Linked DNA regions of Macaca fascicularis. The protein of the gene in region 4 interacts with the protein of the main gene of each other region in a biochemical or structural test. Links are inferred from orthologs where the notes say so. Each region holds a gene or a part of one and is shown on either strand. Other genes may lie near its edges. The genes, in order: CYSLTR2, SLC34A1, ABCC4, PDZK1, RPS6KA1, CRHR1 and CFTR.

Region 1 (3,910 bases), on a different chromosome or scaffold from region 4:
GGTATTTTGCTAAGGATATTTTGCACCTATATTCACAGGGGATATTCATCCATAGTCTTTTGTTTTGTTCTGTATTATCTTTGCCTCATTTTGGTATCAGGGTAATACTTAGCTTCAATAAAATAAATTGAGAAACACCTTTCTCTTCTATTTTCTGAAAGACACTGCATGGAATTGATGTTAATTCTTATTTAAATAGTTGGTAGAATTCTCCAGTGAAGCCATCTGAATCTGGAGGTTTCTTTTTTTAGAGTTTTTCAATTAAGAATTTAATTTCCTTAATAGTTATGGGGATATTCAAATTATCTACTTAATGTTCAGTGAGTTATTTTTCATTTTATGAGGAATTAGTCTAGTTCCTCTAAGTTGTGAAATTTATGTTTGTAGGGTTATTCAAAGTTTTTCTCATTATTCTTTTGATGCCTCAGGTATCTATCGATAGTGTTATCTCCTGTTTTATTCCTGACAATGGAAATTTATGTCTGTTCTATTTTTTTTTGTACCTCTTGCTAAAGATTTGTCAGGAGATGTAATATTTTATTTAATATATGCAATTTTTAGTTCATTATTGTCTTCATCTGTTCTGCTACTATAAGAAAGTTACCTGGCCAGGCATGGTGGCTCACGCCTGTAATCTCACACTTTGAAGGCCAAGGTGGTAGGATCACTTGAGCTCAGGAGTTCAAGACCAACCTGTGCAACATGGAGAGACAGCATCTCTACAAAAAAGAAAAATAGCTGGGCATGGTGGCATGCACCTGTAATCAATTGTATTGATTGTTTTCAAATAACCAGTTTTTCATTTCATTTTTTCCCTATTTTTTTCTGTTTTCTATTTCTTGATTTCTGCTCTTTACTATTTCCTTCCTTTTGCTTGCTTTTTTCTTCTTGAGGATGGAGCTTATATTCTTATTTCGTGACTTTTCCTTTTTGTAATGTATGCATTTAGTGTTATACAGTTTTGTCCTAATACTGCATTTGCTACATCTCACAAATTTATATTTTCACTTTTATTCAGTTCAATATATTTTTTGTTTCCCTTGAGACTTCCTCTTTGACCCATGGATTATTTAGAAGTGTGTTGTTTAGTTTTCAAGTGTTTTGAGGGTTTCCTGTTATCTTTCTGCTGCTGATTTCTAGTTTGATTCCCTTGTGGTTAGAAAACACATTCTATATTATTTCAATTATTTGAAATCTATCGAGGCTTGTTTTATGTCCCAGGATGTGGTTTATCTTGGTATGCGTTTTGTGAACACTTAAAAGCTTAAGTATTTTGCTCTTGTTGGGTGAAGTGTTTTATACATGTCAATTTGATCCTGTTTGTTGATGGTGTTTTTAGTTTTTCTATACCTTTGTTGAGTTTTTGTCTATTTGCTTCATCAATTGCTGAGAGAGGTCCTTGAAGTCACCAAGTATCTCTCCTTTCAGTTTTATCAGTTTTGCTTCAGTTTTGCCACTCTGTTGTTTGGTGCATACCCATTTAGAATTGGTATGTCTTCTTAGTGGTTAAACCCTGTTATTATTATATAGTGTCCCTCACTGTCTCTGGCAATGTCCTTTGCTTTGAAGTCCATTTTATTTGATACTAAAAGAGCTATCCCTTATTTCCTTTGATTTGAATAGCAAGCATTTTTCCATCCTTTTACTTTCAACCAGCCAATACTGCTATTTGAAGTGTTTGTTGTAGGCAGTACATAATTGGGTCATTTAAAAAATATATTCCATTCCTCTATCTTTTAATTGGTATATTTAGATTACTTATATTTAATGTAATTATTGATGAATCAGGATGTCTGCCATTTTATTTTTTGTTTTCTGTTTTTATTGTCTCTCTTCTTTTTCCTGCGTTGTTGTTGGTTATCTGAATGCTTTTTAGAATTCCATTTTTATTTATCTGTAATGTTTTTGAGTGTATCCCTTTGTATATCATTTTAGTGGATGCTCTAGGTATTTTCTCTCTCTATATATATATATATAAAGATATATATATGTATATATATAAAGATCTATATGTATATACATAAAGATATATATATAAAGATATATATGTGTATATATATCTTATGATAGTCTATTAGCATCATCATTCTACCAATTCAAGTGAAGTATAGAAAACTTATTTCCTCTTACATCTCTTTACCTTCCCTCATTTATAATATAATTGTCTTAATAATTCCTCTACATCCATTTAAAACCACATCAGGCAGCATTAACGTTTTTATTTCAAAACATTAAATGTAACTTAGACTCTAAAAGAGAAGGACAGCCTATTGTATTTACACATATTTTGGCTTACCATGTTCTTTCTTATTTTCTAATATTCTAAGATTCCTTATTTTATGAATTCCTTTCTGCTTAGATAACTTCCTTTAGTCATTATTTGTTGTTGTTGTTGTTGTTGTTGTTGTTGTTTTTAGATGGAGTTTCACTCTAGTTGCCCAAGCTGGAGTGCAATGGTATGATCTCAGCTCATTGCAACTTCTGCCTCCCAGATTCAAGCGATTCTCCTGCCTCAGCCTCCCAGGTAGCTGGGATTACAGGCACCTGCCACTAGGCCCAGCTAATTTTTGTATTTTTAGTAGAGACGGAGTTTCAACATGTTGGCCAGAATGGTCTTGAACTCCTGACCTCAAGTGATCCACCAGCCTCAGCCTCCCAAAGTGCTGGAATTACAGATGTGAGCTACCATGCCCAGCCTGGTCATTCTTTTAAGATAGATCTGCTGACAACAAAGTCTCAGTTTTCTGTCTGAAAAAGTCTTGATTTTCTCTTTGTACTTGAAGGATGTTTTTGCTGGACGTAGAATGCTAGGTTGGCAGGTCTTTTCTTTCAGCATTTGAGAAATGTGCCATTTCCTTCTGTCCTCCACAGTTTCTGATGAGAAATCTGTTATTCAGTAGTTTTAGGCTGCAATATCACAGGGAGGTATTCATGTCAACATGGGCACCAGGTCACAAGTTCCCTAAGTTTGAAGTGTCAACTTCGACCAAACAAATTAATGGCTATTCTATATTCAAAAATCAGGAAGTTTAAATTTATTATGAAGTGTAATGCAGCATATATTAAAGACTTAACCAGCGTTTTAAAACTCAACTTTCAAAGAAAAGATAGTATTGCTCCCTGTTTCATTAAAACCTAGAGAGATGTAATCGGTAAGCAAGAAGGAAAAAGGGAAATTCACAAAGTAACTTTTTATGTCTGTTTCTTTTTAACCCAGCATGGAAAGAAAATTTATGTCCTTGCATCCATCCATCTCCGTATCAGAAATGGAACCAAATGGCACCTTCAGCAGTAACAACAACAGCAGAAACTGCACAATTGAAAACTTCAAGAGAGAATTTTTCCCAGTTGTATATCTGATAATATTTGTCTGGGGAGTCTTGGGAAATGGCTTGTCCATATATGTTTTCCTGCAGCCTTATAAGAAGTCCACATCTGTGAATGTTTTCATGCTAAATCTGGCCATTTCAGATCTCCTGTTCATAAGCACACTTCCCTTCAGGGCTGACTATTATCTTAGAGGCTCCGACTGGATATTTGGAGACCTGGCCTGCAGGATTATGTCTTATTCCTTGTATGTCAACATGTACAGCAGTATTTATTTCCTGACCGTGCTGAGTGTTGTGCGTTTCCTGGCAACTGTTCACCCCTTTCGGCTTCTGCATGTCACCAGCATCAGGAGTGCCTGGATCCTATGTGGGATCATATGGATCTTTACCATGGCTTCCTCAGTAATGCTCCTCAACAATGGCTCTCAGCAGAAGGGCAGTGTCATATCATGCTTAGAGCTGAATCTCTACACAATTACTAAGCTGCAGACCATGAACTATATTGCCTTAGTGGTGGGCTTCCTGCTGCCGTTTTTCACACTCAGCATCTGTTATCTGCTGATCATTCGGGCTCTGTTAAA
Region 2 (3,910 bases), on a different chromosome or scaffold from region 4:
ATACAAATCCTGGTGGAATCCTGACTCTCTATCTGGTTGCCTCTCCCACTCACCGGTCTGACATTCTACTATATATGTCTGTTTCCCATGCTGCCCATCAGGCCTGAAGGCCACCAGGTGACCACAGCCCCCTGGAGACCACCCCAGAGGTAGCGGGTGTTACTCTAAGGAGGAGTTCTCCTTTTCGCCACCAGATGGTGCTGCTGGCACAGTGCTCTCCCTCTGCTTCCAGAAGAACAAAGGCCCTAGCGCGCCCCTTCTTCTGTGGGGGAAACTACTGCGCAGGCCCACATCCTGACAGGCTTCTGTGAGCTTCATCACCTCCTTCAGTTCCCAGAAGGGGTCTCTTTAATTTAGGGTGTCCCTGTAGGCACTTAAATCCCAACTCCCTCTTCCATAATGCTGCCAAATAGCCTCTGGGAAAAGGTGGGCAGCATTATGGACTTCATGCTGCAGAGGAGGAAACTGAGGCCCAGAGAGGCTAAGTGTTTGCTCCAGTGTCACACAGCTGGGAGTGGCTCAGCTGGGGTATGGACCTAGGGCTGTCCACAGGCCAATTCTGCTCTTCCCACAGAGCCCACCACCTGCTTCAGGTCCCTCCGGCCTCTCCTACCCAACCCCAGGCCCAGGCAGGGATGGGCACATCTTGGGAAGATGCCCCCAGATCCTGGGCCTCCCAGCTCTTTTATCTAAGCTGGAGTTTCCGTCTTCTCCCTCTACCCCACAAGGAAGCCCCAGGGCCTGCTCCCTCCTGGCAGTTCCCTCTCCGCCTGGCTTTGTCCCTCCTGCCACCTTTACCTTCCTCTCTTATACTTTAGGGTCTCTGGCCTCCCAGCCAGGGCCACACAGCCCCACGCAAGAAGGTCAAGGTTCTAAAAACCCAGAGGGCTTGGCCCTGCTGCTGCCCCTGCCAGTCCTAAGTCGGGACCCCAGTAAAGTTCCCCATTCTCCTCCAGCCTCCCCAGGACCCCACAGTCCTCCCCACAGAGACCTCTGGGCCCAGCCCAGGTTAGGTCAGTGGGGCACAGGTTGACCAGGCACCCACTCATTCAAGGGGTTGTCTGCTCCCTCAGCCCCCAGGCTGGGTACTCCCAGGAAGGTCCAAGCAGATTCCTCCCCAACAGGGCCAGGGTTCTCAGGTTCGTCGGCAGGGGGCACTGGTCCTGACCTAGGAAGTCAGTCACACACACAGCCTCCCCGCCATGTGGTCCTGAGCAGGCCCAGGGAGGGAGACGGTCACTCCGTGTAGGAAGACAGTTTACCGAAGGCTCACTATGAGCCAAGCCCTGTGATGAGCGCTTTAAACACATTTCCCCCTGCAGCCTTCACAGCAGCTCTTCTCTTACCCTGCGTTAGAGAAAACGGGCTCTGAGAGGTGGCATGGCTTACCCAGGGTGGTTGGTATAAGAAGCAGGATTTGAACTTACATCTGCCTAACAGCAAACAGCTGGCTCGCTCTCTCCCTTACCCTCGCAGTAGTTACCGTCGCTTTTCCAGCTTGGTTTTCCCATCTAGCCCAGCACAACCTATTTTTTCCAGGCTTCTTGGCCTGCCATTCAGGCCCAGTCTTGATGGGTCCACAAGGCCCTGATGTGGCGAACTGGGAGCACACAAGAGCACATTGCCCCATTCTAGGGAGCACATCCCGCTAAAATAAACCCGGATATTACACCAGATGCCATAAAATTTCTTACCTTGGCCAGCGCAGTGGCTCACACCTGTAATCCCAGCACTTTGGGAGACCGAGGGGGGGCAGTGAATCACCTGAGGTCAAGAGTTTGAGACCAGCCTGGCCAACATGGCGAAACCCCGTCTCTCCTACAAATACAAAAAAATTAGCCAGGCGTGGTGGCGGGCGCCTGTTAACCCTAGCTACTCAGGAGGTGGAGGCGGGAGAATCGTTTGAACCCAGGAGGCGGAGGTTGCAGTGAGCCGAAATTGTGCCACTGCACTCTAGACTGGGCAACAGAATGAAAACTCTGTCTCTAAATAAATAAATAAATAACTTACTAGCCCAACAAGGCTAAAAATTAGTTGTCCACAGGCCAGGCTGGCCTGCTTCTGCTGACCTTCTTTGAGTTGTAAAGATAACTCTAAGTGGTTGCCAATATTTACAGATTGGGAGTTTGTTGCTTTTGGGGTTTGTTTTTGTTTTTGTTTTTTTGAGATAAGGTCTTGCTCTGTCACTCAAGCTGGAGTGCAGGGCCGTGATCAGAGCTCATGCCAGCCTCGAACACTTGGGCTCAAGAGATCCTCCTGCTTCAACCTCCTGAGTAGCTAGGACTACAGGTATACACCACCATGCCCTAATTTTCTTTGTGGAGACAGGGTCTTGCTATGTTGCCCAAGCTGGCCTCCCACTTCTGGCCTTGAGTAAGCCTCTCACCTCAGCCCCCAAAGTGCTGGGATTACAGCCATGAGCGACACTGCACCTGGCCCAGATTGGGAGATTTTATCTAGAACTTCAGAGTTGTGGCTTCTCTCATAGAAATTGGGCAATTTAGCCATGCCAGGCTGCGTCCCTGGATGGTGACAGTGACCAGGAGCTGAGTAACTGCTGACTCTATAAGCCCAGCAGAAACTCTCCCCACCTCTTCCACACATAGCCCGAGCTGCTCACTTAGGTTACCTGCCCAGCCCTGTGGCCCTCTGAATTGTACGGCCTCCCTGGGGAGCCCCTTTGTTTCACTGACAGTAGGTGACAGAAGAGATGTGTGGGCTGGGCCCTCTGTCCCCCCACATCCCCTGAGAATAAGGAATTGATCTAGAGGAGAATGGAGCTTGGGCTAAGGGTGTCTTGGAGGAGAGGAAGGAGCCAGGATGCTGGGGAAGGGGCACCAATAAAGGGATTGGTAATAAAAGATGAGGAAGGGGGAGTTTTCAGACAAAGAGGAACACGTTCAGCAGCACGGAATGCCACTGAGAGAGGGAGGAAAAGAAAGACAGGAAGCCACAGATGTGGCCCTGGGGAGAGCTGGGCCAGTGGAACGACAGGGCAGAACACACAGAGGGCCAGATTCTTGTGTGGCAGCTACTTTCATCTACATGTCCTCAGTGGAAGAGACAGGCTCAGAGAGGGCAAGAGACCCATGCATGGTCACAGAGCAGGAGGCCCATCTCCATCTTCCCCATCCTTCCCTAACCCCCATCTCGGCTCCAACCTCAGGCTATGTTTTCCTAATTCACTAAGTCACCCTCCTCTTAATGTAGGCTCCCACCTCCATGTCGAGAGCAGAGGCCAACTCCAGCCAGACCCTTGGAAATGCCACCATGGAGAAATGTAAGTGCCTGAAACATGGTGTCCAGAATGGCAGGGGCAGAGCCTAGCAGTGGCAGGGCAATCCTGCACCAGCTGCCAGCCACTATTGTGTCCAGCCCCAGGAAGGACAGCTGTCAACCAGCCCATCTCCTGAGCCTGGGTCAAGCTCCGGTGTTAAGGCTCAAGGAGCCTGAGGTGGGGCCTTAGGCTCAGAGTCCAACCAGGTGGCAAAGGTGGGGACCTGGGAGCCAGGTATGGGGTCAGCTGTCAGGAGCTCCACCCCCTGCAGGCAACCACATCTTTGTGGACACCAGCCTACCGGACCTGGCTGTGGGGCTCATCCTGCTGGCAGGATCCCTGGTGCTGCTGTGCACCTGCCTCATCCTCCTCGTCAAGATGCTCAACTCCCTGCTCAAGGGCCAAGTGGCCAAGGTCATCCAGAAGGTCATCAATACCGGTGAGCTGCGAGCAGTTGACTGGGCAGGGCCGCAGGATGGGCCTTTCCAGATCCTGCTAAGTCCTGTGACTGCCTTGATCTGGGTAAAGCCTACCATCTCTGAGCCTGTTTCCTGATGTGAACAAAGAAGGTGGTTTCTGATGCCACTGAGGTGCTGACAGCTGGAGACCCGTGGCTGCCTCTGACTGTGGTTC
Region 3 (3,910 bases), on a different chromosome or scaffold from region 4:
TATTTCCAGTGGCTGATTTTCTGAATGCTCAATCCTGGTTTAACTTTCAAAATCCAGTACAGAGCACATTAAGAGTCTTCATTCAACCTCTTTCTTCTAGTAGATTTTTAAAATAATTATTCTAATTAATTCACAGAGTAAATTCGACTGAGACTCCTAATCTGTTAAGACATTACTGAATTACTCCTGGAAGCCCTAGTTACTCACACAGGCTCATTGTAAGCACCTCAGCCTCTCATATAATAGACCAAATGATTTAACTTTACCTGAATAAATTCCTAAGTACCAGTTAAGATCTAGCTTCATGGTTACATTTCCTCCTCCATTTACAGTGACATTTAGCGTACTTTGTTGGTTTGCCCTATGGAACATGGGGAGAAAAAAATATTAAGCTATATATGGAATTTAGAGAAATACCTTTTTTTAAAAAAATGAACCACAATTTGAGAGAAATGCTTTATGCTGGAAAATGATTCTCAGCTCATATAGTCCTGTGTGTATCTACCTCATAAAAATTCAATTTAAATCACGACTTTCAGTTCCCGAAACTGTCTGTGAACATGATGCCGCAGATCAGACATGGGTGGAGACCACCACAGGTTACACTCCACCAGCAAGCACTCTAACTTTTCTTCGGGTAAACTAAGTGAGGATTAGGAGAAGGATCAACAAATATCTCCCCCTAACTCTACGGAAAAGCGAGTCTTCTTACTGATGTTTGACTATTTCATACGTCAGAAATAACTTACCAGTACGAAAGCCACCAATCTTGAAGAACATAGGCAACCTAGGAGGTGAGAAACAACAAAGACAAAAATCAAACTTGGGCATGACTTACCAACTCAAAACTCTCAATCACTAACATGGACAATTGAAAGAAAGCCCTCAAAGCTGTGCATGGTGGCTCATGCTTGCAACCCCAGCACTTTGGGAGGCTGAGGCAGGCAGATCAACTTAAGGCCAGGAGTTCAAGACCAGCCTGGCCAACATAATGAAACCCTAGGTCTACTAAAAATACAAAAATGAGCCTAGCCAGGCATGGTGGCACATGTGCCTGTAGTCCCAGCTACTCCGGAGGCTGAGATAGGAGAACTGCTTAAGCCCGGGAGGCGGAGGTTGCAGTGAGCCAAGATTGCGCTACTGCACTCCAACCTGGGCAACAGTGCAAAACTCCGTCTCAAAAAAAAAAAAAAAAGAAAAAAAGAGAAAAAGAAAAAAATAGAAAGAATAAAAAGCTCAGAGAACTTGCATAGTTCTTCCAGCTCAGGTCTACGCTGAGCCCAAACTCCCAGATATCAAGAACTCAAGAAAACGCATGTTCCATTTTAAAATCATTGAAAGATACCCTTTTTTTCCCGCAGAAGGTCTTTGTAATGGGACACCACTAGGCAGCCCTCACTTTGTTCCCCAAAGACAGCACATTTCAATTCAGATCCCAAGTGAACTGCAAGATGCAGTCAAAATAGCATAAACACAGGTACTGTAAATATCATTTTGAGGGCACAAAACAAATGTCATTATTTACCTGAGCTGCAGTGTTTAGGAGAATAAGGAAAATGATGACAATCCAGTGAGCACCAGCTCTGAAGTAATTCTTATAGGCCTGAAAACCAACTTTTCCTTCAGAACGGTTCTCGTCTGAGAGTGTAACTGGGACATTCTCCGTCTGCAAAGGAAAGGGTGGTAAGAGACAAAATCGTATACAAAACTGTTCCCAAAGATGACAATGCACTCTGTTGACAAAGCTGTGGGGAAACAGGCAGAAGTCCAAAATGATCCATCTCCTGTGGAGAAGGGTGTGGAAATATCCAGCCAAACTATACATGTACTTACTTTTTATTTATTTAATATTTTTTGAGACGAAGTTTCACTACTGTTGCCCAGGTTGGAGTGTAGTGGAGCGATCTTGGCTCACTGCAACCTCTGCCTCCTAGCTAGGTTCAAGCGATTCTCCTGCCTCAGCCTCCTGAGTAGCTGGGATTACAGATGCCTGCTACCACGCCTGGCTAATTTTTGTATTTTTTAGTGGAGACAGGTTTTCACCATGTTGGCCAGGCTGGTCTGGAACTCCTGACCTCAGGTGATCCTCTTGCCTCAGCCTCCCAAAGTGCTGGGATGACAGGCATGAGCCACCACACCCAGCTACATGCACTAATCCCTGGACTCAGCCATCCCACTTTCAGGGTTCTACTAGAGGTAAGGAAATATCATTTGTACACTGTGGCATGGCTTGCTGGCAGGATGACATCAGAATGTCCAGCACTTACCGAGCACATCCAAATTCAAGTATACATACAGAAACTTGTTCCAAAATCATGTACAGAAAGATATGGAACTCTCAACTGCATCACTCAATATGGAAGCATAAAAGAGCAGAAGGTCAAAACATGAGCTCAATACAGTAACTGGGTTCAAGCAGTGAGTCTGAGTAACCAGAGTTTGGAAAGCAAGGGATAGCATATGATCCTAATCTGTTTGGTTCCTGAGTTTCAGAAATTGACTCCTGAGAATTTGGCATGTGAGGGCCTAATCTGAATATCTGCAAGAATCCTTCAGGCTCCTGGATTTGGATAGTGAGGGTTAGTGTGGCAAGGAATATCTATGTTTTTAAGTGAGCTCTGGTACATTTCTGCCTGGAGGACTTAGAAGGCATGAGATTCACATACTCTGAGGATGCACTGAGCAGCTCTATGTTGGCCACTGGGAATACCAAGATGAGTAAGATGCAGCTCCTACCCTTGAAAGGTAAAGAAGGAAGATGGGCTGCTGTGTGTCAGCAACTGTTGGGTCTTTGCACGTGCTACTTCTAGCCTAACATAAACCATCTGACAACAGGGCAAAATACCTCCCTCAGCCACGTGCGGCGTCAGAACATTCCAATATATAGGAAAAGTGGCTAACTTCATGTGGCCCACAGCAGGACTTTCTCTAAGGCGGTCTTCAAATTATGCCTCTGGATGCAAAGAGAAGTCGGGGGCCACCAGACTAACTAGGACTTCACTACAGTAAATTCAAGAATTGTAATATTAGCGTGAGTCACACACAGCTTGGGACTTGCACCAGTACACACACCTGCTACTCATCTCCATGACATTCCCAGCCTACACGCAAAGGATTACTCCAACCAGAGTTGTTTGCCTTGGTTCTGTTTTAATCTACCAATATCACGGAACAGGGCCTTGAAACCACAGAATCTACTTTGGGACAAAAGACGATGCTTCAAACAGAGGAGACTAAAGATCCATAAGGCCATTAGCAGTCAACAAAACCAGGCCATGTTGTAACAGGAGGTAAACTCACGTCTTGGGTCTCCACAGCACCATCTTTCAAGGAGGGTCTAGAAGATTGCTGAGACCAAACCGAAGACTCGGAGAAGGTGCGATTCCTCAGCGTGGGAGTTCCTGGAACTGGAAGTTGTTCGCTTTCCTCGTTGTCCTTCTTCAAAAGGGAGCCAAAATCTATACCAGATTTTAGGAACTCAGTGTAAGTCCCCTTCTGCACCATTTTACCCTAAAATAAAAATAAAGAATTTCAGAGAGATACATTTGCAGGTGACAACGTTAACCTAATCTAATTCTAATCCAGAAAAGGTAACTGATCTTAAATTATGATTATACTTAGGTCCGGAATCCTAGTTGACAAATCTAATACAATTCAACCTGATACACAACCGGGTGCTCTGTTCTCAGCCAGAGCCCATGTTAGGTACTGAAGAATATTTTTTAAATGGTAATAGTGTGTTGCAAATGGCGATCATTATCACATAGATGTTGGTGACCGTATCGGTAGTCTTATTACACATGAAAAACTGAGATAAGCCTTATGCAATAAGAATTGAAGGAATGAGTAAATTGAGAAGGATATTCCAGGAAAGAAACCTAACACTGATAGGGGGGTAGGACCAGGCATA
Region 4 (3,910 bases):
GGAACAATTTTATTTCCAGGCTTATATTCTCCATAGATTTTCTCAGATCACCAAGAGTAAGTCTGCAGTTATATTCACAAGTTGTTTCAAAATCTTAAGACCAAGGACTTAAAACCCATTTATCAATCATTTGGCATTCTCTTATCACTACCAATTTAAGTTGAGCTTCAGTTCAGCCTTAATGATGATTGTTAGGCCTCTTCCAGTTTAAGGAACAAAGTCCTAACTCAGTGCAAAGGTTGAGGGCATGAGGGAATGGGCCCAGCCTTAATGCATGAATATATGGCCTTGTATTACTTACCAGTCTGTACATGTTGTCCGTCTCTTTGTCTACCACCAACAGTGAAGTCTGATCTCCACCCTTTCTAATCATTTCCACCACACTGTCATGATCCAGGGTTTCCACAGATTCGCCATTGACAGCAACTACCAGATCATTGTTCTTCAAGCCAGCCTCCTTTGCTGGACTTCCAGAATCTATGTCCTTGATGATTTGACCTGTCCTCCCCCCACCCCAAAAAATAAAATTATCAGTAAGTCCCTTAAAAAAAAAAAAAATTTCTGCTGGAGCCTAAAGCCCTGATGAAATAGATGTAAAAAGCATGCTGAGTACAACTATAGTCCCTTCCACCAGCATCCCAGGAAGTTTATAAGCACACTATCTAGGCTCATTTCCTGCTCAGAACTCGCTCCAGAAATTAACCCAGCCATTAACAATGAAGGGGTCTTAATGGAAATAATCATGTTACTAAAAGTGCCTGATATTCAATTTTGGCACAATAGCATATTAAAAGACTATAAGTTCCCAGGAAGTCAGTGGGCGTACTTGTAGCCATTCTTCTTATGTAAAAGCTGTCATTAAAGGACAGGAAAGAATAAAGAACAAAACCTAAAACTTTGGACCTTAAGAAACCCATGCTGGCATTTTAGTAGCAATTGGGTGTATTCAGTTGGGAATGTATTTGTATATACATGCCTCCATGTGCCTTTGGCCTTCTGGTATCTTTACCAGATGCTGCCAGAGCTCTTTTTTTTTTTTTTTTTTTTTAAACAAGCTCCTGTTTCCCTTTTCCAGCTAGTTGCTGGGTATCTCCAACAAAACATCTCATAGATCTCTCAACTGTAATGTATTCAAACCAAAAATCAGCTCTGCCCATTCTCCACCCCAAAGCCCCTCCTCTTGGTTACCTGTTAGTGGAGCAACATCCTCCTAGCCACCAACACTTGGCAACTGATTCTTCCCCAGCATCCAGTCCCCATATCTAGATGATTGCTAAGTCCTCTCATGCTACCTTAATATCTTACACATCCCACTTCCTCCACCCTGAATGCAGTTTGTGTTAGTTCCTGCCTAGAATTCTATGTAAACTATGACAGCACCTTCCTACTGCTGTCCCTTCCCCAATCAATACAGATCGGCCTTCAGATCCATCTTGATGCACATTCTTAACCACGTCACTCCCTGGTGCAACAGAATGAGCATGGGCTTTGGAACTAAACAACTATTTGACCTTACATAATTACTGTATCTTCTCCAAGCCCTCAATTTCAGCAGTTCTTCCCGCATAATTGTTAGGAGTAATTGAGACGTGCAAAGCCCCCAAGACATTATAGGCTGTTTTTTTCTTCTCCCTTATACTGCTCAAAAAATAACTCCCCATCATCTAATGAGCCAAGTCCAAACTCGTCAATCTTGCATAGAAGTTCCCTTGTCACCTCTCTCCAGCCTACCCTTCCAACGAATTCTTGCACCACGCATCATGTGCCAACTAAACTGTGCCCATGTCTCCTGACAGTGTTCACATGACTCCCCCCTTCCTGGAATGATCTTCCTTGTCCCAGCCCTGCCTACTTTCCCAAATCTATTCATGTTACAAAGCCTGAACTCAAGGGCCACCCCTGCTATGAGGGCTTCTGGTACCTTTTTAGTGAGAAAAGCTTACTCTAACCTTGAATTATCACAGCGCTTAATCTGCCCCTGTATGAAGGTACTTAACCTCTATCTCCCTTCATTGTGGACATAAGTCCCTTATCTCTTATCTACTAAATGGTAGACTCCTTGACTAAAGAATTCCTGTCTGATTCATATGATATTGTTTCTCCAAGGCACTGAGGATGTTTTTACAAAACACAAACCAAATTAATATTTGATAAATTAATGTAAACATAAAGTGAAAAGAAAATAACAACTTATGGGTGAGTAACAGTTTATACGGCCTGAACTCATGTTCTTTTATGTATTTACCTTCCCTGAAAGAACCTAGTGTTCTCCCTGTTGAGTTGCAAAGAAGGAGGACTCCTGGTTCTGAGTCCCAGATCCTCACCCACACCTCGGCCTCAGGTCCAGCGGTGTGCTATACTGGCTCACAAAAGCCAATTCTGTGCAACACTTCGTTGTGTTCAGTGACATCTTGTTAGTAAGTTGAAATTGGACATGGGAGGAGTATTTACATCACAAAAACCAACAAATGCTACCAATTTGTATTCCACCACCACCCCCGCCCCCCGCCAGAGAGCCAGCTTACCAGGATACCATTGCCCAGATCCCAAATTCTGCCTTATCATAATGCTACGGAAACTTTTGATGCCCAATATCAGAGCCTCATGTGACATAGACTCTGACCCAGCTGTGCCTTCTAGTTTCTTGCTGTGTCCCTCATGCATCTGGTTGGAAGTTGGGAGTCTAATGGAACTCTGGAGTCAGACTGGGATGAGGAATTTGTTGGTTACACTGCCAAGTTTCCTGCTGTTGTACCTTACCTTTCTGTTCTGAGCCTGCCCTCAGATAGAAACCATAACCATTGCTTCCTTTCTTCATCTCCACAATTCGGGGCTGGTGGGGTAACAGTTTGAAACTAGCCGTTTCTCTTTTGAATTGTATCTTCTGCTCAAGGTGATGCTTGTCAGTTTCTTTGTCCACCAGCAGGAACATGACACGGCTTCCTGACTTCTTCACCTGTAACAACACACACAGATGAGGAACAATATCAACCCCCAAGAACAATGCTGGGGGATAAGAACGTTTCTGTATAAAGGCACACAGTCTCTAGGTTCAACAAAAGATAGGGGATAGAAGGCCTGAGTTTAAGCTGTTACACTATGTCCTGCCAGCTAACTGATACGTATCTATCTCCACTTCTAGAGTTGTTTTCCCTTATTTAAATATGACCCACCCACATAGGTACTAACTGAGCCCAAGTAGGAGCTAGAATTCAGAAAACCCATAAAGGTACCTAGATAAAAGCTAGAACAGGAGTTTGGAAAAGAAAAGAAAGTAAGAGTCCACGTCAAAAAATCATTCTACAAAGAGAAGAGAAGGTTGGTCAATTTTTAAGGTTCCATATGACCTCAAAGGAAAATCTCAGTTATATCCCACTTCCTATTAAAGCATTTCAGTATTATCGGCTCAACAGTGAATTTATTGTAAATTCAGAGGGCACAGTGACACACGCCCATAATCCCAGACTTTGGGAGGCCAAGGCGGGCAGATCACTTGAGCTCAGGAGTTCAAGACCAGCCTGGCCAACATAGTGAGACCCTGTCTCTACAAAAAAAAAAAAAAAAAATACAAAAATTAGCCAGGCGCAGTGGTGCACACCTGTAATCCCAGCTACTCAGGAAGCTGAGGTGGAAGAATCATCTGAGCCCAGGAGGCCGAGACTACAATGAGCTGAGATGGTGCCACTACACTCCAGCCTGGGTAACACAGTGAGACCCTGTCTCAATCAGACAGTTCAGAGGGGGCTCCCAATCCGATACAAACAAGATCCAAAAGGTAAGGTTAATAGTTTTGTAGACCTTATGTGAAATTAGGGAAGGCTTTATTCCAAAACCTGTATTAACACTGCTTATACCACTAGTGAGAGTCTGTTCACCCTTAATATGAAGGGGCAACTCAGCTGGATATTTT
Region 5 (3,910 bases), about 95 Mb from region 4:
CCAGCTACTCGGGAGGCTGAGGCGGGAGAATCGCTTGAATCCGGGAGGCGGAGGTTGCAGTGAGCTGAGACCCTGCCATTGCACTCCAGCTTGGGTGACAAGAGCAAAACTCCATCTCAAAAAAAAAAAAAAAAAAAAATTACAATTAAAAAAAAACAAAAAAGGCTAGATTCTCTTTAAAGTCTGAATTGTATGAATGACCCCATTTTCTAGCTCAAATCTTTTTTTTTTTTTATTTTTTGAGACGGAGTCTCGCTCTGTCACTAGGCTGGAGTGCAGTGGCACGATCTTGGTTCACTGTAACCTCTGCCTCCCAGGTTCAAGCGATTCTTGTGCCTCTGCTTCCTGAGTAGCTGGGATTACAGGCACACTCCACCATACCCAGCTAATTTTTGTATTTTTAGTAGAGACGGGGTTTCACCATGTTGGCCAGGATGGTCTCGATCTCCTAACCTCCTGATCCGCCCGCCTCGGCCTCCCAAAGTGCTGGGATTACAGGTGTGAGCCACTGCGCCCAGCCTCAAATCCTTTTATATTGGTTCAAAATCCTGTTGGATGACATATGGGAGATGACTGCTGAAGTGTCTGGCTCTCTGGGTGACTTTGGGCTTCTCCCGTATCTTCACACCTCTGCTCAGAGCAGCCCTGGAAGAATGCAGGTGCGGAGGTGAGAGGAACCCTTAGCTCCCCAGAGTTTCCTTGGGAGAAACTCTCAGAGACCTTGCCAGCGTATGGCCTCCATCCGAGGGTGAATGGTATTTCCCGGGCCAGGGGCTGCTAGGCAGGCCTGGGTGGTTCCAGATTCAAGCCATCTGAACACATTCTGTACAGGGCCCTGGGATGGGAGACCTTGTTGTCCCCCAGCTCCATGCCGGGGCCCTCTGGCAGTAGATGTCAGCTCACCTCTTTTGAGAGCCGTGTGAAGAGATCCCCACCACGCAGGAAGTCCAGAATGAGATACAGCTTGCCCTCGGTCTGGAAGGCTGGGGAGAGGGAGAAAGGCAATGGTAGAGTCACCCGGGCCTTACGACCTGCCCCTTCAGCCCTGGCTCCCTTGGCCTACCAGGCAGGCGGTGGGAGAGTGTACAGACCACAGGCAAGGGTGAAAGATGGGTAGGGGAGGAGCTCAGATAGGGCCTGCAGCTTTACCATAGTGCAGCTTCACCACGAATGGGTGGTTTACATCAGCCAGGATGTCTCTCTCCATCTTGGTCCGGACACGGTCACGTACTGGCCAGACGAGAAAGGAAGTCACCAGTAGTCTAGACACTCAACACAGTCACTCCCAAGCCCCCGCTAAGGGATCTCTTTTCCACTTGTTCCTCCAGGCCTGAGCTCCCAAGGCCCCCTCACCCAGGGCTTTGGGGACACTCAATCCTCAGGTTTCTTCCTTCCCAGTCTGTTTCTGGCTCCTTGGCTGGCTCCTTGCTCCCACCCCTCACAGCAGTGCCCACAGCTGGGGCCTTGGCACCCTGCCCTTCTCTCTGGTCCCTTCTCCCACCACGCCCCATCAAGGCCTGTTAACCAGCCAGTCTGAGCAACCTGCTCCCCAGGTGCTCTGTTTTGTCACATCCTCAGACTTTGCCTCTGCACCTCCCCCTGGCACGCCTTCACCAGCCCTGCTTTCCATCTGGCATAAAAATTCCCAAATTCCAGTCAGGGCTGGTAAGAACGGCTACCTGGGGAGCTAGAGAGGCAGATTCCCTGGGCCTAAAATCCCGATCCATGGGTCTAGGCGGGCACCCTTCATATATGTTTTTTTTTTTTCAAAGAATAAAAGTTGTCGGGCAGTTCTGACTCTCAGCAGGTTCTTTGGCTCAGCTTAGGCCTCACCTCCTCTAGGAAGCACTCCCTAATTTGCCAAGCTGAGTTAGGGCCTTCTGGATTCCTACAGTGCTTCTCCTTCAGAGCACTCTTCTCTTTTTCAGGTTGCCTTCTAAATTTATTGAAGCCCACCAAGTATCATGTTTTATTGATTTTTCTTTTTTTTTTTTTTTTGAGACAGAGTCTTGCTCTCGCTCTGTCACCCAGGCTGGAGTGCAGTGGCCGGATCTCAGCTCACTGCAAGCTCCACCTCCCGGGTTTACGCCATTCTCCTGCCTCAGCCTCCCGAGTAGCTGGGACTACAGGCGCCCGCCACCTCGCCCGGCTAGTTTTTTGTATTTTTTTTTTTTTAGTAGAGACGGGGTTTCACCACGTTAGCCAGGATGGTCTCGATCTCTTGACCTCGTGATCCGCCCGTCTCGGCCTCCCAAAGTGCTAGGATTACAGGCTTGAGCCACCACGCCCGGCCTATTGATTTTTCTAGTGTGATTAGAACAGGCTTTTGGGCCGGGGGTGGCTCATGCCTGTAATCCCAGCACTTTGGGAGGCCAAGGCAGGTGGATCACTTGAGGTCAGGAGTTCAAGACTAGTCTGGCCAACACGGTGAAACCCTGTCTGCATTAAAAATACAAATTTTTCACGCCTGTAATCCCAGCACTTTGGGAGGCCGAGGCGGGCGGATCACAAGGTCAGGAGATCGAGACCATCCTGGCTAACACGGTGAAACCCCGTCTCTACTAAAAATACAAAAAAAATTAGCCGGGCGTGGTGGCGGCACCTGTAGTCCCAGCTACTAGGGAGGCTGAGGCAGGAGAATGGCTTGAACCCAGGAGGCGGAGGTTGCAGTGAGCCGAGATTGCGCCACTGCACTCTAGCCTGGGCGACAGAGTGAGATTCCATCTCAAAAAAAAAAAAAAAATACAAATTTTAGGGCCAGGTGTGGTGGCTCACGCCTGTAATCCCAGCACTTTGGGAGGCCAAGGCAGGCAGATCATGAGGTCAGGAGGTCGAGACCATCCTGGCCAACGTGGTGAAACCCTGTCTCTAGTAAAAAATACAAAAAAGTAGCCAGCCTGGTGGCATGTGCCGAGACTCTGTCGTGGGAAAGAAAAAAAAAAAAATAGGCTTTTGGACTTGGCTGCTTAGGTTCATTTTGGACACTGTGTTTCAACTTAAGTTTATTACAATATTGATTATCCCTTGACTGAGACCTCTCATGTGGCCTTTGTTTTTTTGTTTGTTTTTTATGAGACAGGGTCTCACTCTGTCACTCAAGCTGGAGTGCAGTGGTGTGATCTTGGCTCACTGCAACCTCTGCCTCCCAGATTCAAGTAATTCTTGTATCTCAGCCTCCCGAGTAGCTGGGATTACAGGCGCACCACACCCGGCTCATTTTTTTTTGTATTTTTAGTAGAGACAGGGTTTCACCATGTTGGCCAGGCTGGTCTTGAACTCCTGACCTCAAATGATCCACCCACCTTGACCTCCCAAAGTGCTGGGATTGCAGACATGAGCCACCACACCCGGCCTTGACTTCTATTAAAAGGAGAGGTGGAAGGCTAAGGAATGCTTACTAAGACCAGACAAAATGTCTGAGCAATACACACAGTGCAAAACTAAAGGCTTTTTTGGTCCATGTACTGGATCGGCAGTTTCCTCTCCAGCCTCATAGTCCCAAAGCCTTCACTAGTCCATCCATCTAGTATGAATTCTATTCAATCGTCACTGCCATTCTAGAATTGATGCTCACAGTTGCTTATCTTAGGAGATCTGGCCAATGTGCTCCTCCTGCACGTCTTTCCAGAGTCTTGTTCGGGACACAATCCTCGGCCCTTGCTACAAGTAGAAGCTGCAGCTGCCTTCCAACACGCCTTCTGTGTCAGCACACAGGGCTACAGAGCTGGTTCCCTTCAGAGCACTTTTCACATCAGTGGGCCCCTTCCTCTATTTTAATTTTTGTATTTTCCTCACTAGACACGACAGGGACCACACCAGAGTTAACTATTTTGGTCACCTTACATTTTCTTTTTCCTTTGTTTTTTTTTTTTGAGATGGAGTTTTGCTCTCATCGCCTAGGCTGGAGTAT
Region 6 (3,910 bases), on a different chromosome or scaffold from region 4:
GTGCTCTGCCTGGGTGGGACTGGACAAACAGGATCCAGCCTCCTTTATCTGCCTTGAGCTTACACAGGAAGCAGCCTGGAGCCAGACTGCCCAGGTTCAGAATCGTGGCTCCGTCATTAAATAGCTGTGTGACCTTGGACGGATTACTGCAGCGTGCCTCAGTTTCCTCATCTATAAAATGGACATACTTCCTCAAAGGGCTGTTGTGGGGTGATATCAGTCCATCTATATTAAGCATTTAGAATCGGACCTGGCACATAGAGCAAATGCTGTATAAATGTGTTCTCGTAATATTAAGACATCTTAATAGAAGAGTCCGTGAATTTAACAGAAGTGGACCTAGATGATCCCAGAGGCTTCTTCCAGCTCTGAAGTTCTTTGGTTCCTTATGAAACGGACTCAGGTGTTTCCAGTCGTGCCTGGAAACTTGATTTCTGCTGCAGTGGTGCTCAGCCTTGGCTCACATTAGAATCACCTGGGATGCTTCGAAAAGTACCAGTGCCCAGGCTTCACCGCCAGAGAGTCAGGTGTAATTAGTCTGGGGTGTGGCCTGGCACCCAGAATTCTTGAAAACTGCCCAGGTGATTCTAATGTGCAGCTAAGATTGAGAACCACTGAGAGAGGGGGGGGCAGAAAAGGTGGACGTGGATGGCAGGGGAGCCCCAGGACCTTGTTTGCCAAACAGGTGTTCCCAGGAACCTATCTGACTGACTGACCTGGCGTCCAAGTGGCCTCCACCACAGTGACAAGCCCTCTCCTCACCCCACGGAGGGGAGGGGGCCTGCATGGCTTCATTGGGCTGACGAAGGAGCCTGGAAGATTATCTTGCGTGTTTAGGAGGTTGACTCTCTCCTGACTCAGGCTAGCTGAGGCCTTGGGAGGCCGAGGCGGGTGGATCACTTGAGGTCAGGAGTTTGAGACCAGGCTGGCCAACATGGTGAAACCCCATATCTATTAAAAAAAAATACAAAAATTAGCTGGGTGTGGTGGTGCGCACCTGTAGTGCCAGCTACTTGGGAAGGCTGAGGCAAGAGACTCTCTTGAACCCAGGAGGCAGAGGTTGCAGTGAGCCAAGATCGTGCCACTGCTCTCCAGCCTGGGCAACAGAGCAAGACTCCACAAGCCTCAAAAAACAAAGCAAAACAAAAACTGTTTGGGCTAAAGGAGAAAGTGAGTCTGAGCGGCTCTGAAGCCCCACCTGGTGGTGAAAATTCAACACTGCAACAGAGGGGATCTGGGTGTGAGAAAGCAGAAACGAACTTGCAGACCAGAGGCTCAAGGACTGGACCCAGCCCACAGAAGCTGTGTGTGGCCGGCAGGGTGTTTTCTGGAAACTCGATTTTGTAGCCAAGCTTTAAAAAATCCAAAGGTTTCGTATACAAATCTCAATTTCTGGCTTATGAGATCTAGCCACTGGGGGTCTTCTTACCCACGGGGACATAAGGGCTTCCAGTTTGTCTGGTCCCCACCCACTCCCCAGGCCTCCCTGGAGCTTGCTGGAGGGACACTCAGGAAAATGCAAAGCAATTACCCCCTGCAGCAGGTAGAACCTGTGCAGATGTTCCTCTCAAGGTCGTTCGGGCTGCGATTGGACAGGTTCAGGCTGAGATTGAGAACTGCTGGGTGCCCACTGGGTGACACGTGTGGTACCACTCCCACCAGCAGCCCCCCAGAGGACATGCTGGGCCTCAGCCACAGCCAGGGGACCGTGAGGAGGAGCCAAGGATGCAGCTTGCGTATTGAGCTCACGCCCATTCCCGGCCACGCAGTCTTTCCCACTGTCTGCCTCCTGCCCCGATGCTTGCTTCCAACTTTGCATCTCATCACAGAGGATGCTGTCCATTCTGCAGATGGGACAACTGAGGCTTGGCAGTGGGATCAAGTGACTTGACCTTCTGCCAGGGTTGGAATTGGGACATCTACCTCCTGGCTTCCAGCCCCAGTCCTATCCTGGCCAAGCACTGTCCCTCCCCATGCCACCGAGGCAGATGCAGATGATGACTCCTCCCCTTTCCTCTGTGGCCTTCTAGGTGCTGGTTTGGCAAAAGGCCTGGGGTGTACACCGACTATATCTACCAGGGCCCCATGATCCTGGTCCTGCTGGTAAGACCCTGGGTAGGGGCAGGAGACAGGGCCCAGTGGGGAGGGGCGATCAATGCCAACCGTGGACAGAAAGGACCCCTCTGCCTAGAGGTGGGGGCCACCCAAGGAGGGGGCATGGGCCAGGGATGTGCAGCTGCTCCTGAGGAGGAGGGAGAACAGCAGGAGCACTGAGGCCAGAGAGGCCAGAACTGAGAAGCCTGGGTCCCCAGCCTCTTGCACACTCCAGCCTGCTGGTGTGCTCAAATTGCAGATCAATTTCATCTTCCTTTTCAATATCGTCCGCATCCTCATGACCAAGCTCCGGGCATCCACCACGTCTGAGACCATTCAGTACAGGTAACCGGGTACCACCTCCCCCAGGCCTCCCCCTGATGAAACCCCTGCTCCCCATGCCTCTCACGTGCCAGAGACCTGCCACTCCCTCCCCCGACCTGGCCCTCTGCTGAGCCAGCGGGCAGCCAGTCCTGGGGTGGGCTGTGACTCCAAGCCTCCCCACCTGCCCCACCCCAGGAAGGCTGTGAAAGCCACTCTGGTGCTGCTGCCCCTCCTGGGCATCACCTACATGCTGTTCTTCGTCAATCCCGGGGAGGATGAGGTCTCCCGGGTCGTCTTCATCTACTTCAACTCCTTCCTGGAATCCTTCCAGGTACAGCCCTGGAGGGGCACACTGGCACCTCCTTGGGTGGGGATTCTCCCAAGCAGATGCCTGGAGGGTAGGAGGCCAGGGAGAAGCAAGGGGCAGCCCAGAGGCTGGGTGGGCAACACCTGTGACCGACCTTTGACGCCTCCTCTCTCCTCCCCAGGGCTTCTTTGTGTCTGTGTTCTACTGTTTCCTCAACAGTGAGGTGAGGACCTGGGGGCCCTGCGGCGGGGCTCAGGGCTGCAAGGCCTGTTGGGGCTGGCGATAGTCTAGAGCCTTCTCCTCCCCTCCCAGGGCTGGCTCTCTCCCTCCCTGTTCCTCCTAGGTCCCTAGGGGGATGCTGCTGGGAGCCCCAGGCCGGCCCCTCCCACCTGTCCACTCCCACAGTGACAGCTCTCTCCTTTGCTCTCAGAGGCCGCTGGCACCAGGCTGGAAGCCAGAGCTCCAGTATCTTTGATGAGCCTGTGACAACCAGGAAGGGCTGAGCCCTGGGCAGGGGATATGTGTGGGTTGAGAGCAGGAAGCCTTGATGGCAAAGGCCATATGGTGTCTTCGCGTGGGTTAGAAAAGGGTGCCCCTTCCCCAGGACATTTGAGAAACCTGTTCCGGCAAATATGCAAAGCAGCCATGTTAAGGCTGTGAGTGCCATCGCCTCCTGAGGACTTCTGTGTACTCAGCTGACCTGCACAGCCTCTTACCTGAGCAGCTGCTCATGCCGACCCAGGGGAGGGAGGGGGTCCTGAGCGCCAGGCTCAGATGTCATGCTCCTTCCTGTGCCCACAGGTCCGCTCTGCCATCCGGAAGAGATGGCACCGGTGGCAGGACAAGCACTCGATCCGTGCCCGAGTGGCCCGCGCCATGTCCATCCCCACCTCCCCCACCCGTGTCAGCTTTCACAGCATCAAGCAGTCCACAGCAGTCTGAGCTGGCAGGTCATGGAGCAGCCCCCAAAGAGCTGTGTCTGGGGGGATGATGGCCAGGCTCCCTGACCACCCTGCCTGTGGACGCGACCTGTTAGGTCTCATGCCCACTCCCCCAGGAGCAGCTGGCACTGACAGCCTGGGGGGCCACTCTCCCCCTGCAGCTGTGCAGGACTGTAGCTCATGAGTGGAAAGTCATCTACAGGACTGGGCCAGTCCCGGGGCCTCTGGCTTCCCTGCCCAGTCC
Region 7 (3,910 bases), on a different chromosome or scaffold from region 4:
TACATGTGTTTGCAGAAGAGTGATGCAGAGAGCAAGTGTGATGGAACACTGACTTGTTAATGAGATAAAGAAGATCTACCAATTGAACAATTCCCCCAAGAACTTGTTTTCTGGAAAGAAAATGCAATTCCTTTCCTGGATTTATCTTGAAATGCATAACAAAAACAGGTGACCAATAATGTTTGGGAAATAAATACTCTTTTACTCTTTCTGTTTACATGGCAAAGGACTTAATATTTCAGCATTTCTTTTGTTGTTCCAATCACACACCTGCAGCTCAGTTACCATTGTGTACTGGACTCAGCAGCCTGAATTCCTCATAACCCATACTGACACCATCCATAAGGGTACTTCTCTTTTTAGTATATTTTTCCCTGTGAAATTCTCATGTGCTGAAATTATTTGTTCCTTGAACAGTGTATCAACTTTCACTGAGTCTCCTAGAACCTTTTTAGATTGGAGTTTGTAGAACATGGAGCTCAACTGAAGAAAAATGGTCTCATTGCTACAGAAATGCTATAGTTTACATCTTGCCCAGATTTATCTCAGTAATCATAACTCAGTCTGCGCTGTACTTTCTTTGTTGGATATAATCCTTACTAATCAGTGAAAGGTTATATGAGGTGAAAGAACACTAGAGATAGGTGCCAAGTACTGATGCTATCTCAGGAGGTAGCTTTCATTACTTGAACTGACTTCACTTCAAGTGGAGGATTTATAGGAACCCAATTTGTGAATACTACCCTATGTCATTCCCAAGTTAAGGAAGAGCAAACATATTCTAACCAGACACAAGTTTTTTCATGGTTAATGTACCGTAACACATAAATTAAGATATAATAATAGAGAATCATTTATTTGGTTCAGAATTGTATACTCTACCAGTTCCATCTGAGTTACCAATCAGCCTTCAATATCTTGATCATTATTTTAATGAAATAAATGTATTGAGCAGCAGTGAACACATGTAGGAAATTCTTTAATAAGGTATCAATATAATATACTTGCAGCGCAAAATAACACCCTGGACTAACTACATAAAACTACAGCCCATGAAAGTGAATTTGTGCAACTAATGTATGAATATTGAGAGAACTTAAATGCAATCATTTGATTGTCAGAAACATCAAATAAGAAGTGGAAGTCTACTGTGACAAACATATTTTTTAAATATTAAGGACAGAATTACTAACAACATTGAAATTACTGGAACAACTTACTGTCTTAGGTTTTCAATCATTTTTTCCATTGCTTCTTCCCAGCAGTATGCCTTCACAGATTGGATATTTTCAATCATTTCTGAGGTAATCACAAGTCTTTCATTGATCTTCCCAGCTCTCTGATCCCTATAAATCAATCAATCAATCAATCTAATAGTAAAAACAAGTCAAATTATCTACTAAGAACTGCTCAAGGTTTTAAGTCATATTTCTTTTATTCGACAGATGGGCATTTATTTTATTATCAAATAGATGGTAACAAAAATAATAATTACTGTTTAGTAAATGCCTCCTATGTGTCAGATATTGTACAGACTCATTCCATCTGCCATCTCTATCCCTTACAACAGTCTATAAGCAGTGGGTATCTCTATTTTAGAGATGAAAAAAGCAAAGACTCAGTGAGATGAAGTGGCTTGACTAAGGTCACATAACTAGTAAGTATGCAATCTGGGATTCAAACAAAGTGCTATTTGACTCCAAAATTTATATACTTTCTATCATACTCTAGCTGACAAATTCAAGCCCTTTATCATAAGCAGTGACTTGTGTAAGTCATTCATTCACTAGTATTAGTTATTCTGTAACACAAAGTAACTAAGGCTCTGGTGTGATGATCCATAAACCAGAGTAGTAAAAGCTAATCAACTCTACACAAAAATTAGGTATTCCCTTTAATTCACATAAATGTTTTATCCATTTTTTAACTGTTTTATAATCTAAAAAATGAACTGAATCAACATATTTATAAACAAATTCAGGAGACTGAGAAGCAAAAAAAATGTCCCATTGATACAGGAAGTAATATTTATACCATCTTAAAAAGTCTTTTTTAGGCCGGGCGCGGTAGCTCATGCCTGTAATCCCAGTACTTTGGGAGGCTCTGAGGTGGGCAGATCACCTGAAGTCGGGCATTCGAGACCATCCTGGGCAACCTGGTGAAACCCTGTCTCTACTAAAATACAAAAATTAGCCGGGCGTGGTGGCATGCGCCGCTAATCCCAGCTACTCCGGAGGCTAAGGCAGGAGAATTGCTTGAGCCTAGGAGGCAGAAGTTGCAGTGAGCCAAGATCGTGCCACTGCACTGCAGCCTGGGTGACAGATCTAGACTCCATCTCCAAAAAAAAAAAAAAAGTCTTTTTTAATGACACTGAAGATCACAGTTCTATGCATAGAGCAGTCCTGGTTTTACTAAAGTGGACTTTTTGAAAACATAATTTTAAAAACCTTCAAGCTATGAAAATAGGTTGCTACCTGTACTTCATCATCATTCTCCCTAGCCCAGCCTGAAAAAGGGCAAGGACTATCAGGAAACCAAGTCCACAGAAGGCAGAGGCCTGTAACAACTCCCAGATTAGCCCCATGAGGAGTGCCACTTGCAGAGGAACGATCCACACGAAATGTGCCAATGCAAGTCCCTGGAAAATAAAAGCACAGCAAAAACAGGTGTCATTTTATCTTCCACCCCTAGAAACAAACAATCATATATGAAAAAAAGCAAGTAAAAGGAGCTTATATGGTCAAACACTTCGTGGTTCTGAGCACAGTAAAATCTAGGTAATCATTACATGGAGCACATAACAATGTGCTTAAACATTCTACACATAGAATAGGTTTCCCCAAAGAACAAATTTCAAGCCAGTGCACTTTTAAGCATATTTTTATTCAGTGGAATTGAGATTGGACATGTTAAGTTATCATTAGTCCAGGTTTTAAGTAACTTACTTTTTTTGCATAAAGCAAGAACCACAGCACAGAACATGAGAGAACAAAGAACTCTCTCCAGAGACTCAGTCTACACAACTGCACAACTCTGTCATTTGATAGAGACATTTAGAACAAATATTTGCTCAATTCAACAGTAATTAATTTTGTACCAGCTGTGGGTCTCATGCTATTTTAAGTACTGGATGTGCAAAGATAAATAAAACACATCATATGTCCCAAGGACCTTGAATTTATTTATCACATAAGACAACACAGAACAAGAATTGCTCAGAGTATCATATTCAGCCAAAGTATATAACAGATTTAAAGTTTTAAAAAGAAGCATGGTCTGATAAGAATTAAGTTTTGAAAAATCTTATTAACAACAGGCTGAGGTGCCTTTGAGTTGGGTGGTTCTACCAGACCCCAGGATGGTGTTCTGCTATACAACTGACCTTTCTCAGTTTTCAGAATAGGGAAGCTAGAGCTGAGCAAGACTTAACCACTTATCTGATACAGGAAAACTCTACCTTTCCAGTTGTATAATTTATAACAATAGTGCCTAAAAGATTAAATCAATAGGTACATACTTCATCAAATTTGTTCAGGTTGTTGGAAAGGAGACTAACAAGTTGTCCAATACTTATTTTATCTAGAACACGGCTTGATAGCTTTAAAGTCTAAAAGAAAAATGGGAAGTTAGATAATTTCAACAAACAAAATACAAATATATTATAAGTAACATTATAATATGACTAATTCAGTTATTATGCATTCATTATTAAGTAAAGGTAATGAAAATTATGTTCTATTCATCTAGCTTACTATCATCTTAGATTCATAAATATTTCTTTTAACAGTCAATACTATACTGGAATGCTTCTAGTTGTTTTATTTTCCAGCATCTAGAGAGAAACAATTATTTTTTCTCCTCACAATGAGAATGGTATTATACTTAAATACCATTTATACCGTGTGGGAGT

The links.
Region 1: the proteins of PDZK1 (region 4) and CYSLTR2 interact in a test that uses a peptide from one of them, tested with the Homo sapiens proteins (2 studies listed by IntAct, with this or other methods). The link is inferred for Macaca fascicularis from reciprocal best matches to the Homo sapiens genes PDZK1 and CYSLTR2.
Region 2: the proteins of PDZK1 (region 4) and SLC34A1 form a complex in vitro, tested with the Homo sapiens proteins (2 studies listed by BioGRID and IntAct, with this or other methods). The link is inferred for Macaca fascicularis from reciprocal best matches to the Homo sapiens genes PDZK1 and SLC34A1.
Region 3: the proteins of PDZK1 (region 4) and ABCC4 form a complex in vitro, tested with the Homo sapiens proteins (2 studies listed by BioGRID and IntAct, with this or other methods). The link is inferred for Macaca fascicularis from reciprocal best matches to the Homo sapiens genes PDZK1 and ABCC4.
Region 5: the proteins of PDZK1 (region 4) and RPS6KA1 interact in a test that uses a peptide from one of them, tested with the Homo sapiens proteins (2 studies listed by BioGRID and IntAct). The link is inferred for Macaca fascicularis from reciprocal best matches to the Homo sapiens genes PDZK1 and RPS6KA1.
Region 6: the proteins of PDZK1 (region 4) and CRHR1 form a complex in vitro, tested with the Homo sapiens proteins (2 studies listed by BioGRID and IntAct, with this or other methods). The link is inferred for Macaca fascicularis from reciprocal best matches to the Homo sapiens genes PDZK1 and CRHR1.
Region 7: the proteins of PDZK1 (region 4) and CFTR form a complex in vitro, tested with the Homo sapiens proteins (2 studies listed by BioGRID and IntAct, with this or other methods). The link is inferred for Macaca fascicularis from reciprocal best matches to the Homo sapiens genes PDZK1 and CFTR.

The regions. Positions count from the first base shown.
Region 1 is NC_088391.1:27,835,500-27,839,409, forward strand, and holds part of CYSLTR2 (cysteinyl leukotriene receptor 2), read left to right. Parts: intron 1-3,217; coding exon 3,218-3,910. UniProt on the Homo sapiens protein: Receptor for cysteinyl leukotrienes. The response is mediated via a G-protein that activates a phosphatidylinositol-calcium second messenger system.
Region 2 is NC_088380.1:184,329,697-184,333,606, forward strand, and holds part of SLC34A1 (sodium-dependent phosphate transport protein 2A), read left to right. Parts: intron 1-3,210; coding exon 3,211-3,280; intron 3,281-3,548; coding exon 3,549-3,716; intron 3,717-3,910.
Region 3 is NC_088391.1:86,099,410-86,103,319, forward strand, and holds part of ABCC4 (ATP-binding cassette sub-family C member 4), read right to left. Parts: intron 3,511-3,910; coding exon 3,301-3,510; intron 1,667-3,300; coding exon 1,526-1,666; intron 788-1,525; coding exon 750-787; intron 362-749; coding exon 267-361; intron 1-266. UniProt on the Homo sapiens protein: ATP-dependent transporter of the ATP-binding cassette (ABC) family that actively extrudes physiological compounds and xenobiotics from cells.
Region 4 is NC_088375.1:113,740,012-113,743,921, reverse strand, and holds part of PDZK1 (Na(+)/H(+) exchange regulatory cofactor NHE-RF3), read right to left. Parts: intron 2,957-3,910; coding exon 2,761-2,956; intron 499-2,760; coding exon 302-498; intron 1-301. UniProt on the Homo sapiens protein: A scaffold protein that connects plasma membrane proteins and regulatory components, regulating their surface expression in epithelial cells apical domains.
Region 5 is NC_088375.1:208,563,929-208,567,838, forward strand, and holds part of RPS6KA1 (ribosomal protein S6 kinase alpha-1), read right to left. Parts: intron 1,231-3,910; coding exon 1,150-1,230; intron 984-1,149; coding exon 904-983; intron 1-903. UniProt on the Homo sapiens protein: Serine/threonine-protein kinase that acts downstream of ERK (MAPK1/ERK2 and MAPK3/ERK1) signaling and mediates mitogenic and stress-induced activation of the transcription factors CREB1, ETV1/ER81 and NR4A1/NUR77, regulates translation through RPS6 and EIF4B phosphorylation, and mediates cellular proliferation, survival, and differentiation by modulating mTOR signaling and repressing pro-apoptotic function of BAD and DAPK1.
Region 6 is NC_088390.1:67,419,030-67,422,939, forward strand, and holds part of CRHR1 (corticotropin-releasing factor receptor 1), read left to right. Parts: intron 1-2,030; coding exon 2,031-2,103; intron 2,104-2,353; coding exon 2,354-2,439; intron 2,440-2,613; coding exon 2,614-2,749; intron 2,750-2,906; coding exon 2,907-2,948; intron 2,949-3,526; coding exon 3,527-3,667; coding exon of another isoform or gene 3,668-3,716; 3' UTR 3,717-3,910.
Region 7 is NC_088377.1:158,981,705-158,985,614, reverse strand, and holds part of CFTR (cystic fibrosis transmembrane conductance regulator), read right to left. Parts: intron 3,608-3,910; coding exon 3,518-3,607; intron 2,639-3,517; coding exon 2,475-2,638; intron 1,347-2,474; coding exon 1,221-1,346; intron 1-1,220. UniProt on the Homo sapiens protein: Epithelial ion channel that plays an important role in the regulation of epithelial ion and water transport and fluid homeostasis. Mediates the transport of chloride ions across the cell membrane.